Linked DNA regions of Macaca fascicularis. The protein of the gene in region 2 interacts with the protein of the main gene of each other region in a biochemical or structural test. Links are inferred from orthologs where the notes say so. Each region holds a gene or a part of one and is shown on either strand. Other genes may lie near its edges.

Region 1 (3,803 bases), on a different chromosome or scaffold from region 2:
AAATTATATATACTATCCAAATTATATAATGTCCAATTATAAATAATATCCAAATGTAAAGAAATAATCCAATAAATAGTATTACTATGACTAATAGTTATAATAATAATATAATAATTTAATTGATTTTTAAAACCGAGTCAAAAACAAGGGATGATTTGGCAAGTGAGGAGAAATTATGGGAATAAAGACATTGAAATAAATATTGGTGTAAAAAATAATTCAGTATTGTCCAACCATTACTACACTAAATGTCTAAAATATTTCTTCCATTTTGAACGTTATTACAGATGCTCTTCAAAGAACTTGCACTGGTACAATTAATATTGACATTCAAAATGTTGATGGAGATGACAGGACTAATACACAGGCGAGCACTGAAGTTACCAATACTGGCAGAGAAGAAAGTACTTCTTCCACTAACTATGAAACCAGCACACTTTACTCTGAGACAGCAAGTTCTACTTTATACCCAAATGGAAGACAACCCCTATTGTTCGCAGACAATGTGCATTTCGGTCCTGCTGGCATTGGACTGCTCATCATGGGGTTCTTGGTCTTAGGATGTGAGTACTTTAGCAAATCCTATGTATATGTGTACCCCAAAAACTGGTGGGGGAAGAGATACATTTTCTGATTCTTTGATAAAACGTATTTTACAAACTCTCATTTTGTGCAATTATAAAGAAATTTCTACGCTTGGCACTGGGTTTATAAGGTGAAAAAAATTAAACTTCTTGACCCCTTACAGGACTGTGGAGGATAAAAACTTATTTGCAATAAGTCTCAATGTAATGGGGAAATGCCATGACAAGCAGGCTCAAATTGCTATTGCAGTGAAGAAGACAATCAGAAAAGGCTACAGAGGGGGCCGGGTGTGGTGGCTCACGCCCGTAATCCCAGAACTTTGAGAGGCCAAGGCGGGCAGATCACTTGAGGTCAGAAGTTCAAGACCAGCCTGGCCAACATGGTGAAACCCACGTCTCTACTAAAAATATAAAAATGAGCCAGGTATGGTGGCAGGTGCCTCTAATCCCAGCTACTCAAGAGGCTTAGGCAGGAGAATTGCTTGAACCCAGGAGGCAGGCATTCAGTCAAAAAAGAGGAAAGAAAGAAAGAAAAAGAAAGAAAGAAAGAAAAGAAAGAAAGAAAGAAAGAAAGAAAGAAAGAAAGAAAGAAAGAAAGAAAGAAAGACAGAAAGAAAGAAAGAAAGAAAGAAAGAGAGAAAGAAAGAGAGAAAGGGAGAGAGAGGAAGGAAGGAAGGAAAGAAAGAGAGAAAGAAAGAGAGAAAGGGAGAGAGAGGAAGGAAGGAAGGAAGGAAGGAAGGAAGGAAGGAAGGAAGGAAGGAAGGAAGGAAGGAAGGCAGGCAGGCAGGCAGGCAGGCAGGCAACAGGGAAAGAGTAAACTCTGAGTTGCGTTTTAAAAGATGAATAAGAGTTAGGCTGATGGACTAGAGAAAGGGAACACAATACAAGGGGAAAAAAACTATGTGCAAAAACCCAAAAGAATGAGAGTGCAAGGTACTGCAATGAAGAACTCCAATGTGCAAGAAATAAAATAAGTACATGACAGCATAGTGAAAGCTTAGACTAAAAGATAGGCAGGTCTCAAAGAGATTTTATTGATACTAACACTGCATAGTATTAATAAAAGGAGAGTCCCTAGGGTTAAACTCTGGTTTCTAAGCCGAATTGTCTGATTCTTCTGAAGGTCACCTAACCTTTCTGAGCCTTGTTTTTGTCATGTATGAAATAATACTTACCTTAAAACAATGCTTTGATGATGAAAAAGAAGTACCACACATGAAGCATTTAGCGTGTTCTATGGCCACTAGGGTAGCACTAGTCAAAGGTCTAGCCATAAAGGTAGACTACAGTGGATTCTCCAGGTGGTCTTTAACATTACCTTGAATGATGATAGAAATTAGAGCAAGATAAACCACATGGCACAGTCTTTGAGAAATGAGAACAGGACCTCTAAAGTAAGTAGGTTGTAGTCTGCACATTGCAATTAAATTAATGCAAACATTGTCATTTTCAAATGTGGAATCAAAATCTTAAGGTCAGAAGGTACCTCAGATATTTAAATCAAACGCACACACAAAATATAAAGTCAGAGCACTTACATACAAAATATTTTTTTTCTACTTTCATTTTTCTTTGCACATGAACAGCGACAGATATTTTTTGCTACATTTATTTGTGAACTGGGTTTTCTCTGATTTTAAACAACTCTTTTTTTTTTAAGTTTTCATCAATATTGGACTCATCTAAACAAGTCTGGTCATGATGATAACACAGCTTAAAGCTGGAGTTCTTTTTCCAAAATTTAAAACATATTTCCAAAAAATGAAATTTCTACATTGACAAATAAGAGTTTATTCTTATCGGTTCATAATTAATTGAAGTAATAACTAGGAAAATTTCTATGAAATGGAGAAAAGGGAAAGAGAGAAAGAAAAGAGCATTCTCATCAAAATGTACCAAGACAGGAAGAAGGCAAAAATGCGAGTGAAGTTGCAGAATATAACATAAAATACATATGAAACGAGTTCATTCTCTATTTGTTATGCATATTGATTACAACTTACCTTGTAAAATATTTAAATTTAATACTTCATAAGAGCAACTTAATTACCCAACTGCTGATTATCACTACTGTAAATAATACCTGACTTTCATGTTGAGATTTTTGTTTTTTGGGTTTTTTTTTTGTTTTTTGTTTTTTGTTTTTTGAGATTGAGTCTCGCTCTGTTGCCCAGGCTGGAGTGCAGTGGTGCAATCTCAGCTCACTGTAACCTTCGCCTCCCAGGTTCAAGCGATTCTCCTGCCTCAGACTCCTGAGTAGCTGAGACTACCCGCGCGCACCACCACACCCCGTTAATTTTTGTATTTTCATTAGAGACAGGGTTTCACCATATTGGCTGGGATGGTCTCGATCTCCTGACCTCGTGATCCACCTGCTTTGGCCTCTCATGGTACTGGGATTACAGGCATGAGCCACCGCGGCCGGCCTGAGTTGGTTTTTTATATTGCTGACTACCTCTGGGTACTGTAGTTAATAAAAAGATTTACAAATTATATATGGGCCTTAGAGTCATCACTACCTGTAGACCCAAAGTTTCCTCTAGTAGATTTTCAGAAAACCAACACATGGGCTTCTTCTCTTTTTTTCTTTTTTCTTCTCTCCCTCTCTCCCTTATTTCTATCCTTACTATCTTCCTTCCTCCCTAATTTACTTCCTTCTTTTTTCCTTTCCTTCTTCTTCACATTTTTAATTTACAAATTCTTTCTTTCATCCATTTATTCAAAACCATTTACCAAGATTAGATTATATAAGAGGCTGATAATAAATAGAAAAATAAGAAAACTCCACTTGATTAACAACAGAAGACACTGCTAAGCAGCGTGATGTTTTCTATTTGTATAAGAGTTGTTGAAAGAAAAGACACCTGCATAGGGGGAAATAGTAGCCTCAAGGAGAATTGCTGGAAGCATGAATAAGATTTTACCATTGAAATAAAGGCAAGCATATGTAAAAGGAAGAAAATAAAGACATGGAGGAGAGAACACAAAGGATCAACTATATTGCCTGACCTTTCATCTTTCCTTCTTCTCTCCTTTAATATTTTTCTAAATAATGACATAGAAAGATTAATTGGTTTTAATAATGTAATACTATCTGTAATTTTTTTTTTTTTTTTTTGAGAGAGGGTCTCACTCTGTCACTCAGGCTGGAGTGCAGTGGCACAACCACCGCACACCTCCCTGGTTGAGCAGCCTCAACCTCCCTGGCTCAAGCCA
Region 2 (3,803 bases):
GCGGACCAGAGCAGGGATGCCGCCCGACTTGAAGATGGCGAGCAGCCCCTCCCGGTGGTGGGAGAGGTTGTGCAGGATGCTGGTGGTACAGCGGGCCGTGTCCAGGTCACTGGTATTCTGCATGGTGCGCACGACAGCGGCCACCAGCTGGGGTGAGCCCATCAGGGCCCGCCGCGACGCCTCCTTCTTTGATAGCTGGTTCACAATCATGGCCGCCTTAGTCACCACCACCTGGAGGGCAAAGGCAGGTGCGGGGACGTGAGCACTAAGGAGGGGCCGGGACACCCTTCCACAGAGCTGAGGAGGGCCCCAGACTCGTCACATACAGGGGAGTCCGGGTCATAACCTTCCTCCTCCCCTACAATGTCCCTCCCCTGAGGACATCTGCTCTCTCCCCTCCCTGCTCAGCCCCCACCCTAGCCGGGACCCTCACAGACCGGGTCCTCGTCGTTGAGCAGCTTGGTGAGCTCGGGCAGGGCTCGAGTGGCCAGCTCGGCGTCGTCCTGGTAGTTGATGAGATGCACAATGGCCGACTTGAGCAGCTGGGATGGCTCGGCCAGTCGCTGCAGGTTGGTGGCCTGCCCCTCCACCTGCGTGGCCAGCAGCAGCGAGCTGTCCTCGCCTGACACGCCAGGGCACATGGCCTCCCGCACCCGTTTGGCTCTGGCTGTTGTGGACATCTGGTACTCCAGGTCACCTGGGGGCCATGGGGACAGGGACTGAGTGCGGGCAGTGGGCTGGGCAGACACTGGGGAGCAGGGCAGGCTGCACACAGCCCCACCTCGGCCCTCTGGGCTACCTTTCACCCTGCCCAAAGCCGCAGCGCATGACTGGCCATTCTACCTCTCCCCAGGGACCTTGGGGAAGTCACCATCACCTCAGTAACCTCATCTGTAAAATGGGCCCCACATGTTATGTCCATCATGGGAATTTTTTTTTTTTTGGCACACTTATTATGTGCCTGGCAGTGAATTCAGTGCCCTGCTATTTTCTCATATAATCTGACAATGACCCTGCAAGGTAAGTACTATCATTGGCTCCTCTTTACAGATGGGAAAACTGGGCACAGAGGGGTTATAAGGCAGCCTGACTCAGGGGCCCAAACCCCTATTCCATTCTCCTCCCTTACCCATCAGGTCTCCTTTCAACCCTGAAATCTCAGGAGTCTAATTACACCCTCATCATCCCCAACAGCGGCAATCCTCCCACTATACAGGCAGGCAAACAGAGGCCCAGAGAGCCACCAACATCACATCTCACAGCAGATCAGAGGGAAAGTCAGGGCTGTGGGTTCAGGGAGCCAGGAGCTGGGTCCTCAGCTGAGACGTCAGGTTCCTCTCTAACTTCCTTCCTCCCCCTGGGTGGGTCTGGGAGTCCCACAGGTAGATGCCCAAGCAGCCACACCCTGGCAACTGTCCTGATGCCCCCAGGGAGAGGGACGCAGAGGTTCCACCCTCTAATTAGTTGGGAAGGAGGAGACAGCTGCATGGCTTTCCCACCTGGATGCTGTACTTTTTGCTACCAACACAGTGCCTGGCCCTGCCCAGCCAAGAGGCCCCGTACTCCCCCTACCAGCTGTCAGGGAGGAGACTGGTGTGCAGGGGCTGACTCCGCAGAGCCCCACCAGCTACAGTCCACCCTCACTACTCTCAGAGCCTACAGCCCACCTCATGGCATGTTCAGGGCCCCGGAGGCACCTGTGGTCAACAGTTCTAGGGCCTGGCTACTCCTCTCCCCCAGAGGGGCAGGGGAGGCTTGGGCTGGCGGGGCACCCCCAGCCAGGACTAAGCCCTAGAGCTGAGTCAGTCACTCGTCCCACAGCCTCGGCCTATCTGCATGTCAGCAGCAGAGGCCTGGTCTCCCTCCCAACGAGGGGCCCTCAGGCTTGAGACCTACACCTCCTCTACCCAAAGGAGAATCCCTGGGGGGTTCCTGGAGGCTAGGGCCCTGGCTCTCCCATCAAATGTGAGGCTCCTAGAGCCAAAGGGCTGTGTCCTCCCTGCCATCCATGGGCTTCCTGAGAGCCATAGTGATGCCTCCTCATCAGATTCTTATTTTTTTATTATTATTATGATTTGAGACGGAGTCTCACTCTGTCACCCAGGCTGGAGTGCAGTGGCACAATCTCAGCTCACTCCAACCTCTGCCTCCTGGGTTCAAACAATTCTCCTGCCTCAGCCTCCCTAGTAGCTGGGACTACAGGTGCATGCCACCACACCCGGCTAATTTTTTATTTTTAGTAGAGACGGGGTTTCATCATGTTGGCCAGGCTGGTCTCGAACTCCTGACCTCAGGTGATCCACCCACCTCAGTCTCCCAAAGTGCTGGGATTACAGGCGTAAGCCACCGCGCCCAACGTCCTCATCAGATTCTTACATTCACAGAAGACAAGGACTGTGCCTCTTCCTTCAGACTGGAGGCACCCTGAGGGCAGGGACTATGCCTTCCCTCCCTACCTTCCCTCTTCACAGAAGAGGATTTTGTGACCCTCCCAGATACAGCACCCTGAAGTAGTTGCACCTCCTCCTTCAGACTGGGTGGGCCCCCTGTTAGTATGAGCTGTGCCTCCTCCCTCAGACCAGGGACCCCCTAGAATCCGCCTCCTTTCACTCTGACCTCTCTCCAGGACCCAGGCAGGTTTTCTACCCCATGGAATAGTTCCAAGGGGTCCTGACCTTGGCTGGGGGGCACCCCCTGGGTGTAGGTGGTGGTCTTCTTGAGCGTGTACTGGCGCCCGCAGGCCTCATCCTCCTCCATGATGCCCTTGCTGCTGATGGAGGGCACGCAGGTGTTGGCGCCCGAATGGATACCCGAGTCGTAGGTGTACGTCTGCTGCCACTCAGTCACCTTGATAGGCTGCTCCATCAGGTTCATCACCTCCATTGTGGCTACTGGGGGCACAAAGGAGGAAGTCAGGAAGCAGGAAGTCACCTGGCCGAGCCCCCAGCTTCAGCCCATCCCCAAGTCCTGCCTGTCTTGCCATGTAATCACCATGGCCCCAGGGGTTTCAATGAGGATGCAGGCTGGGGATGAGTGGGTGCCCAGAAGGGTAACAGGCCCAGGGAGGTGCTGCCCATGAAATATCCTGGGAGCAGTGAGCCCCAGGGGTGCAGCTGTGTGTGTGTCCTGGGCTTGCATCTCTGACCTCTTAGGGGGATGAGCCCCAGGGGGCAGGGCAGTAAAGGGCCAGCTGCCGCCAGAAGCCCCTGTTCACTCACCTTGCTGCCCTGACCCAACTGTCTCAGGGCCAAGAGAAGGCATCCAGGACCTCTAGCAGCTTCTGAGGTCCCCTGGGCCCACCCTCAACCACTGGGGCTCCCTGGGAAAGGCTGCAGGGAGGAGGCACCCCAGTCATTGGGCAGGAAACTGGGTGGGGCAGGGAAGCGGTCTGACAGGTTTCTCTGGAACGCCCCAGGCTCCCTCAGAGACTCCAGGATCTGGCTTTCCTACAGATTGGGCAGGATCACTCGTGGCCCTGAGGCTGAGGCCCCAAGGCCCCTTCTCTCCCAGCCCTCCCAGCACCTAGAAGCCTCTCTGAGTCCCACAGAGCGGTTCAAATCTCAGCTACTCACTACTGGGGCAGTTCACCTCCCCGCAGAACCTCAGTCCTCATCTATAAAGCGGGGTCACACGACCTCCCTCAGAGGTGGTTGCGAGGATCTGGTGCATAGCCGGTGTTCAGAGGCCACGACCATTACCATCAGCACCGCCTCTCCTCCGGAAGTGCTTCCTCACCTCCTGGTCTCCTCGAGCCCAGGCTAGGGATCTGAGGTGGGGCAGGCCTGTGGGTGGTCACTGCCGTC
Region 3 (3,559 bases), on a different chromosome or scaffold from region 2:
GCAAAATATCCCAGGGAGGAGGGGGCACATTCTTCCCCAGCAGAGAACCACTGGCCTGTACTCACTTGTTGACCCTGAGAACGTCGTCTGAAACTTTGCTCTGTCTCGTCCTTCAGCTGGGCCCACAGTCTCCCGTGGACATGGGAATTGTATTGGTTTCATCACATGCCACATGGATGGATACTGTTCAAATAAAGTTACCATGTGAATGTAGTTTCTCCCATGTTGTGTCCAGTAGAATGATAGAAGCTTCTGGAGAAGTCACTTCAGCATTAAGCTTTTTAATTTTTTTAATTTTTTTGAGATGGAGTCTTGCTGTCTCCCAGGCTGGAGTGCAGTGGCGCAATCTCGGCTCACTGCAACCTCCGCCTCCCGGGTTCAAGTGATTCTCATGCCTCAGCCTCCGGAGTAGCTGGGACTACAGGCACGTGCCACCACGTCCAGCTAGTTTTTGTGTTTTTGTAGAGACGAGGTTTCACTGTGTTGCCCAGGCTGGTCTCAAACTCCTGAGCTCAAGTGATCCACCCGCCTCGGCCTCCTGAAGTGCTGAGATTACAGTCGTGAGCCACTGTGCCCCGCCTCTTTCTCCATGTTTTGACTAAGGCTATATCCATCCATCTTCTCTCTTGCCTGGAAATGTGGTGGAATCAAATAAAACAAGTTCGACAATGGTTTAACAAAATTCTTTAATAAAATTTATAAAAATGCATCTTTGAGAATACTTTTCTCAGCTTGTTTTCCTTTTCCACCCCTAAAGAAAATATACAATGATCAGCACCCACACACGTACACACTCAAAACTACAGTGACATTCTCTACACAGAACTATATTCGATACAGCTTGAACTTTAGAAAAATCAAGACAATTCCAAAAAGTGATTGCAGGGTTGATTTTTTTCTCCCAAACACTTGAGAAACAGTAAAGCTATTTCAACAAAAGTCTTTTCTTTGATTGTCAAAAAGTTGCAATTCACATTTAAATAAAAAGAGCTCCAAATCAAGATCCTCTCCACCCCCCCACCCCTCGATTAACCCCCTTTAGGGCCACATTTTCTTGTTGCTCCTAAGAAAAATGTTTAGAATTTCGAATATTCTCAGTTTTCTATGCACATTTGGAATTGGACAAATGTGTTCAGATCAGCCAGCATTTTCTGTAGACATCATCAAAAGCAGGCACTTGGGGATTCTGGGCTTTGAGTACAAACCACAGATCCTGTGTCAGAAACACATGTTGAGACTCCTCCATTCCTTCCAGAATTTTCAGAGATGAGGTAGACCCACCTCAATCATCCTCGGCATCAGTTTGCTAAATTGCCAGGCTCAATGAGAAGCTCTCCTGCCATCTCCAAGCCCACTTTTCCTAGTTCCACTCTGTCTTTGGCTGCAGCATTTTAGGCACTATTCTAAGTCCTGGAGTATGTCACTCTTGTTTCAGAGCTAAATAAACATTAACGAACACACTTACTCAGAACAAGTCACTGGATAGATGACCACTGCAAGTTACATACTCAGGAGATGAAAGAGGGAAGCCATTAAAAGTCTTCAGAGTAGACAATACCTAGTCAAGATGTGGCCAGACGAAGACATGAGCTGCTTACCCTAAAAGGGCCCAATAATTTCCGCACCGAAGAACTCCTATCTTGGGCAAAGCAACTGAATTCAGGAGTGAGAGTAGATATTAAAACATGGAGGCTGGGCACAGCAGCTCATGCCCGCAATCCCAGCACTTTGGGAGGCCAAGGCAGGAGGATTGCTTGAGGCCAGGAGTTTAAGACTAACATGGCAATATAGCAAGACCCCATCTGTTCAAAAAAATAAAAAGGAGGCTGATGGGAGAATTGCTTGAGCCCCAGAGTTCGAGGTTACAGTGAGCTATGATCACATCACTGCATCCCAGGCCTGTGTGACGGAGCGAAACTGTCTCTTAAAAAATGGCAGGGAGCTGGGGAGCTGGGCAGATGCAGTGTCTCATGCCTGTAATCCCAACACTCTGGGAGGCCAAGATGGGAGGATCACTTGAGCCCAAGAGTTTAAGACCAGCCTGGGTAACATAGGGAGACCCTGTCTCAAATATTTAAAAAATTAGTCGTGCATAGTGGCACATGCCTGTGGTCCCAGCTACTTGGGAGGCTGAGGTGCAAGGATTGCTTAAGCCTGGGAGGACAAGGCTTCTGTGAGTTGTGATTGCACCACTGCACTCCAGCCTGGCCGACAGAATGAGACCCTGTCTTAAAAAAAAAAAAAAAAAAAAAAGGGGGGCAGGGGGACAAACCATTGTAGCAATGAGCAGGAGCATACACATTAAAAAAAAATTATATACACAGAAAAACAGAACTAGAGTAGCTGACTTCTCCCCTTTTTTTTAAAAGTGAGACAAAATTCCTTAAGAAAATCTGCAAGGTGCTAGGTGAACCTTCTGATGCTAAAGTTGTTCTTCTGTAATATTAAAATTTGGGTATCTTGTGGACATCACCACCATGTAAAGCGTGGTGGGGAAAAAAAAACCTTCAAGGAATAAGTCAAAACTTTTCTAACACACATCGATTACAGCTATAAAGTGGAAAGACTATAAAGCTATACTAACTGCATCACTGACCAGTCTCTTTTTTTCCCAGAAACTCATCTCAAGGGAAGGGAGCTGAAAAACCACCAGCAACATGATCTCTGCATTTCCCAGCACAGAGGTCTAGGGTCCGCCTCTCTCGAGTCCCCTAGTCATCCTCGCCGCCTCCGTACATGTCTGCCAGCTTCTTGAAGCGATTGCCCCATTCATTCAAGTAATCATAGTCCTGGTCTTTGTCTGACTCTGAAGAGTTCAGGGAGCTCAGACTAGCAGCTTCGGAACCGCTTCCTTCATAGTCAAACACGAGCAGAGAATCATAAGGCGGGGCCGTGGGGTCACTATCAGCTGCCTTCAGATTCTAAAGAAGAAAAGGGGACAACAGGACCTTTTAGTGAAAGGAAGGACACACCTGTCACCCGGGGCAAGAAGTCTCGCAACATGTAAGGTATGACAATGCACCCAGACTGGCACACCACGGAGCAGTGAATACCAGCAAGGTACATTTATACACACTGGCATGGAAAGATGCACAGGATACGCTGTTGATGGAAAGAGAAAGTAAAATGGTAAGTTATATGTAGGCAGGAGAGATGCAAGCACCAACCAGTCAGGATGGAGTCCCCACAAATCAGGGTGGGGCTTCCACACCACCAGCTGGATGGACAGAGCTGGAAACTTTGCATACTGGTGCATTCAGGCTGCATTTCCACCCAGAAAGGGCTGGAAGGATGAATGCCAAATGCTTAACAGTTAAATCTGGGGAGTGGGGGTGTGGGAACTAAGGAAGGACTTGTATTGTTTTCTTTTTCTTTTTTTTTTGGAGACGGAGTTTCACTCTTGTCACCCAGGCTGGAGTGCAATGGCGTGATTTTGGCTCACTGCAACTTTCGCCTCCCAGGTTCAAGCGATTCTCCTGCCTCAGCCTCCCAACTATAGGCATGTGCCATCAAGTCCAGCTAATATTCATATTTTTAGTAGAGACGGGGTTTCACCATG
Region 4 (3,584 bases), on a different chromosome or scaffold from region 2:
TCATTTATCCTCCACCTCAGCCTGCAGTGAGTGGCTTTTGTCATCAGGCCTTAATAACGCAAAGTGCATCGGAGCAGAAGAGCTATTTGTTTACTTAGCTCAAAACATCTGGACTTTTCTCCATAGCCAGGCTCCTACTTGCTGAGCCGGCTTGTTCTCACCTTGAGGGGCACAGGCCTCCACCCTGCCATGTGGGGTGAGGGGATCCTTGGCCAGAGTGGTTTCCCTGCTGTCACAGAAGGGAAGTCAGCGGGAGGCTCAGAAGGCCTTGGCTGTACAACCAGTGCCGTGCGGCACAGCCAGGGTCCCATGAACGACTTCCATCAGATCACCTGCCTCCATCCCCAAGCAGAGTGTAGGCAAGGGCTGTGACTGCCTCAGGTAATTGGGTGATTTTGCTCCAGCAAGAGGACAGGAAGCATGTGAGTGCCACCCTGAACCTTTAAGAAACACCCATGGGGTGGGAGGTGCTTGGTCCAGGCCAGGGTGCTCGGTGCTAAGCGTGCTCTCCCTTCAGTGCCCGGACTCGGCTTGCAAGCAGGACCTGCTGGCCTACCTGCAACGCATCGCCCTCTACTGCCACCAGCTCAACATCTGCAGCAAGGTCAAGGCCGAGGTGCAGAATCTCGGCGGGGAGCTCGTTGTCTCTGGGGTAAGCATTAGCTGAGAAAAAAGAGGGCCAGTGGGAACGTGCTGACCCTTGTCAGAAATGAAAGTCACTTCCTATCCACATACACACCTGCCCTGGGAAAGTGTGCTGAGCAGAAACCCCAAGTCCTGTCCCAGCCTCCGGAGACCAAGGTCTGTCCATCATCTGTTCCCTGTAGAACTGTGACACGTGTGGGCCACTGCAAGGGCTGAAAGGCTGGCCTCCTCCCCTTTGCTGGCCACTCACTGGGAACAAATTTTTAAAAATCTTCCTTGGGACCGGGCGTGGTGGCAGGTGCTTGTAAGTCCCAGCTACTTGGGAGGCTGAGACACAAGAATTGCTTAAGCCTGGGAGACAGAGGTTGCAGTGAGCCGAGATGGCACCACTGCACTCCAGTCTGGGTGACAGGGCAAGACTCTGTCTCAAAATAAAACAAAACTTCCTTTTCTTCCCCCAGAGAGGAATTAAGAGTAGACATAGATAGGATGCTTTCTCGAAAGCCCTTCACCCCTCAGAGCGCTTGGGTAGCATCTCTTTTATCAGGTCACAGTTCTGAGGCCTTTCTCACCTAGGGCAGGGGAAAGAGGTTTGCTGAGTGGACTGGGGTCCAGCGAGCCTCCGTGGCTTCTTTTAATCCCATTAAATTTCCTTTAAAAGAAACACTTCTTATATTGAACATATTGAGACCATTTGCTCATCTGCTTTGCCATAAACGTCCCTGTCTCGATTCCTGCTTCTCCTCCCCCACGTACTTATAGCTCTGGGATCACTCACAGTGGCTTCCGCTTTGAGTGAATAAACACTTGCTGGGGGGTGGGGGCGAGCAAAGCAAGGCTGCCTCATGTCTTCTTCAAAGGGTCTGAGGGCAGGCGCTTCCAGGCTATTTAGGTAAGAGCAACTGTTGAGGGTGTTCCTCAGCAACAGGCTGCTGCCCAATCCTCTGCCACCTGCCCAGGCCCTGGTCTTGCAGAGGAGTAGGGGGCCCCCCTTCAGGCACAGCCCACCTGTGTCCACGATGCTGGAGGTCAGGCCTGTGCTTCTCACCACCCTTGTCTGCCTTGTAGGTGGACAGCGCCATGTCCCTGATCCAGGCAGCCAAGAACTTGATGAATGCTGTGGTGCAGACAGTGAAAGCATCCTACGTCGCCTCTACCAAATACCAAAAGTCGCAGGGTATGGCTTCCCTCAACCTTCCTGCTGTGTCATGGAAGATGAAGGCACCAGAGAAAAAGCCCTTGGTGAAGAGAGAGAAACAGGATGAGACGCAGACCAAGATTAAACGGGCATCTCAGAAGAAGCATGTGAACCCGGTGCAGGCCCTCAGCGAGTTCAAAGCCATGGACAGTATCTAAGTCTGCCCAGGCCAGCTGCCCCCACCCCTCAGGGCTCCTGAAGATCAGTCACTGTTTGTCACTCAAATGAATTTGCTAAATACTACACTGATGTCAGATTCCACAGGGAAATGGGCAGACTGTGAACCAGTCCAGGTGGTGAATTTTCCAAGAACATAGTTTAAGTTGATTAAAAATGCTTTTAGAATGCAGGAGCCTACTTCTAGCTGTATTTTTTTATATGCTTAAATAAAAGTAAAAATTCCATAACCAAAGAGAATCCCACATTAGCTTGTTAGTAATGCTTTGAGCAAGCCGAGATGCCCATTCTCTTAGTGAGGGCGGCATTAGGGTTTAAGAGAAGGGAATTTGGCTCAACCTCAGTTGAGAGGGTGCAGTCCAGACAGCTTGACTGCTTTTAAATGACCAAAGATGACCTGTGGTAAGCAACCTGGGCATCTCAGGAAGCAGTCCCTGGAGAAGGAATGTTCTCAGAAAGGTCTTTAGAGGAACAAACTCAGTAAAACGTAATGTTTCATGAAGAAAACTGATTACTCTCTTTATGACATGAAATGAGAATTTAAATGCATGGTTACAATTACTAATGTACGCTGCTGCAGGTCATTAATAAAGTTGCTTTTTTTAGGCTACAGTGTCGTAATCAGAACACACTTTTCTCTTTCTTCCAGCTTCAAATGCAAATTCATCACTGGGCTCACTTCTAACAATTGCAGTGTTTCCCACCTTGGGCTTGCAGCAGAAAAACCTGACAAAATAGTGTGTGCTAAGGCAGTAATTTAGACTTTACCTTATTTGTGATTACTATAGTGATTACTGTAACTACAAGGCATAACTTACCATCTTATATAAATTTTACAAATTTTGAATGTTTTTTACACTAACTTTTCCCAATAAAGTCCACTATGAAACCACAACATCCAAGAGGCCAAAGTCGTCATCTCTTCCTTCAAGTGCTCACAGCATCTGTGGTGCTCTGGGCCCTCCCGGTGTCCCTCTCTTCCAGGATGGGGATGCCCGGAAGGGAGGCTGTGGCTCTAGGCTGCACGGCTCATGCCAGCCCATCAGGGAGGGCCATGCCCCTTGTCCTATTGAGTGCCCCACCCTGCACCCCCACCTTGGGAGTTGACATGTCCATTCCTTGAGGTTCATGTCAACCTCGGAGGCATCCCGTCTTCATTATGAATGTCCCCTCTCCTGTGTCCTTCCTGTCAGCACACACACACCTATGATGATAGCGGCCTTCGAGATGAAAACCCCTGAACCCCATGATCCTTTCTCACTTCCAACCGGCTGTCGCCTTGCTCCCTCCACCTCCCCTCGTCAGGGCGACTGCCTTCCACTGCCAGTGACACTGGCAATGGTCTTCAGACCTCATCATGCAAGCTGCCTGGGGGCGTGGCGGGGAGGAGGAGGAGGACAAGGACTCCTGAATGCTGCTAACTCGGCTTCCAGGACACCCCACTCAGGTTCTGCCTGCCTTACTGGGGGCTCCTCCTTTCCTGGGGCTGAGAGGTTGTGTCTGTGCCCACCCTCCTGAGCTCAGGCAGAATCTCACATGTAAAGACATACAAATGCCGACTTCT

The links. The genes of interacting proteins can lie anywhere in the genome.
Region 1: the proteins of JUP (region 2) and DSG1 form a complex in vitro, tested with the Homo sapiens proteins (2 studies listed by BioGRID and IntAct). The link is inferred for Macaca fascicularis from reciprocal best matches to the Homo sapiens genes JUP and DSG1.
Region 3: the proteins of JUP (region 2) and CDH1 form a complex in vitro, tested with the Homo sapiens proteins (2 studies listed by BioGRID). The link is inferred for Macaca fascicularis from reciprocal best matches to the Homo sapiens genes JUP and CDH1.
Region 4: the proteins of JUP (region 2) and CTNNA1 form a complex in vitro, tested with the Homo sapiens proteins (2 studies listed by BioGRID). The link is inferred for Macaca fascicularis from reciprocal best matches to the Homo sapiens genes JUP and CTNNA1.

Annotation. Positions count from the first base shown.
Region 1 is NC_088392.1:58,532,335-58,536,137, reverse strand, and holds part of DSG1 (desmoglein-1), read left to right. Parts: intron 1-290; coding exon 291-566; intron 567-3,803. UniProt on the Homo sapiens protein: Component of intercellular desmosome junctions. Involved in the interaction of plaque proteins and intermediate filaments mediating cell-cell adhesion.
Region 2 is NC_088390.1:62,806,153-62,809,955, forward strand, and holds part of JUP (junction plakoglobin), read right to left. Parts: exon of another isoform or gene 3,736-3,803; intron 2,892-3,735; 5' UTR 2,884-2,891; coding exon 2,676-2,883; intron 698-2,675; coding exon 438-697; intron 232-437; coding exon 1-231. UniProt on the Homo sapiens protein: Common junctional plaque protein. The membrane-associated plaques are architectural elements in an important strategic position to influence the arrangement and function of both the cytoskeleton and the cells within the tissue.
Region 3 is NC_088394.1:64,919,183-64,922,741, reverse strand, and holds the end of CDH1 (cadherin-1), read right to left. Parts: intron 2,922-3,559; coding exon 2,712-2,921; 3' UTR 670-2,711; downstream 1-669.
Region 4 is NC_088380.1:145,432,216-145,435,799, forward strand, and holds the end of CTNNA1 (catenin alpha-1), read left to right. Parts: intron 1-517; coding exon 518-652; intron 653-1,653; exon of another isoform or gene 1,654-1,713; coding exon 1,714-2,001; 3' UTR 2,002-2,915; downstream 2,916-3,584. UniProt on the Homo sapiens protein: Associates with the cytoplasmic domain of a variety of cadherins. The association of catenins to cadherins produces a complex which is linked to the actin filament network, and which seems to be of primary importance for cadherins cell-adhesion properties.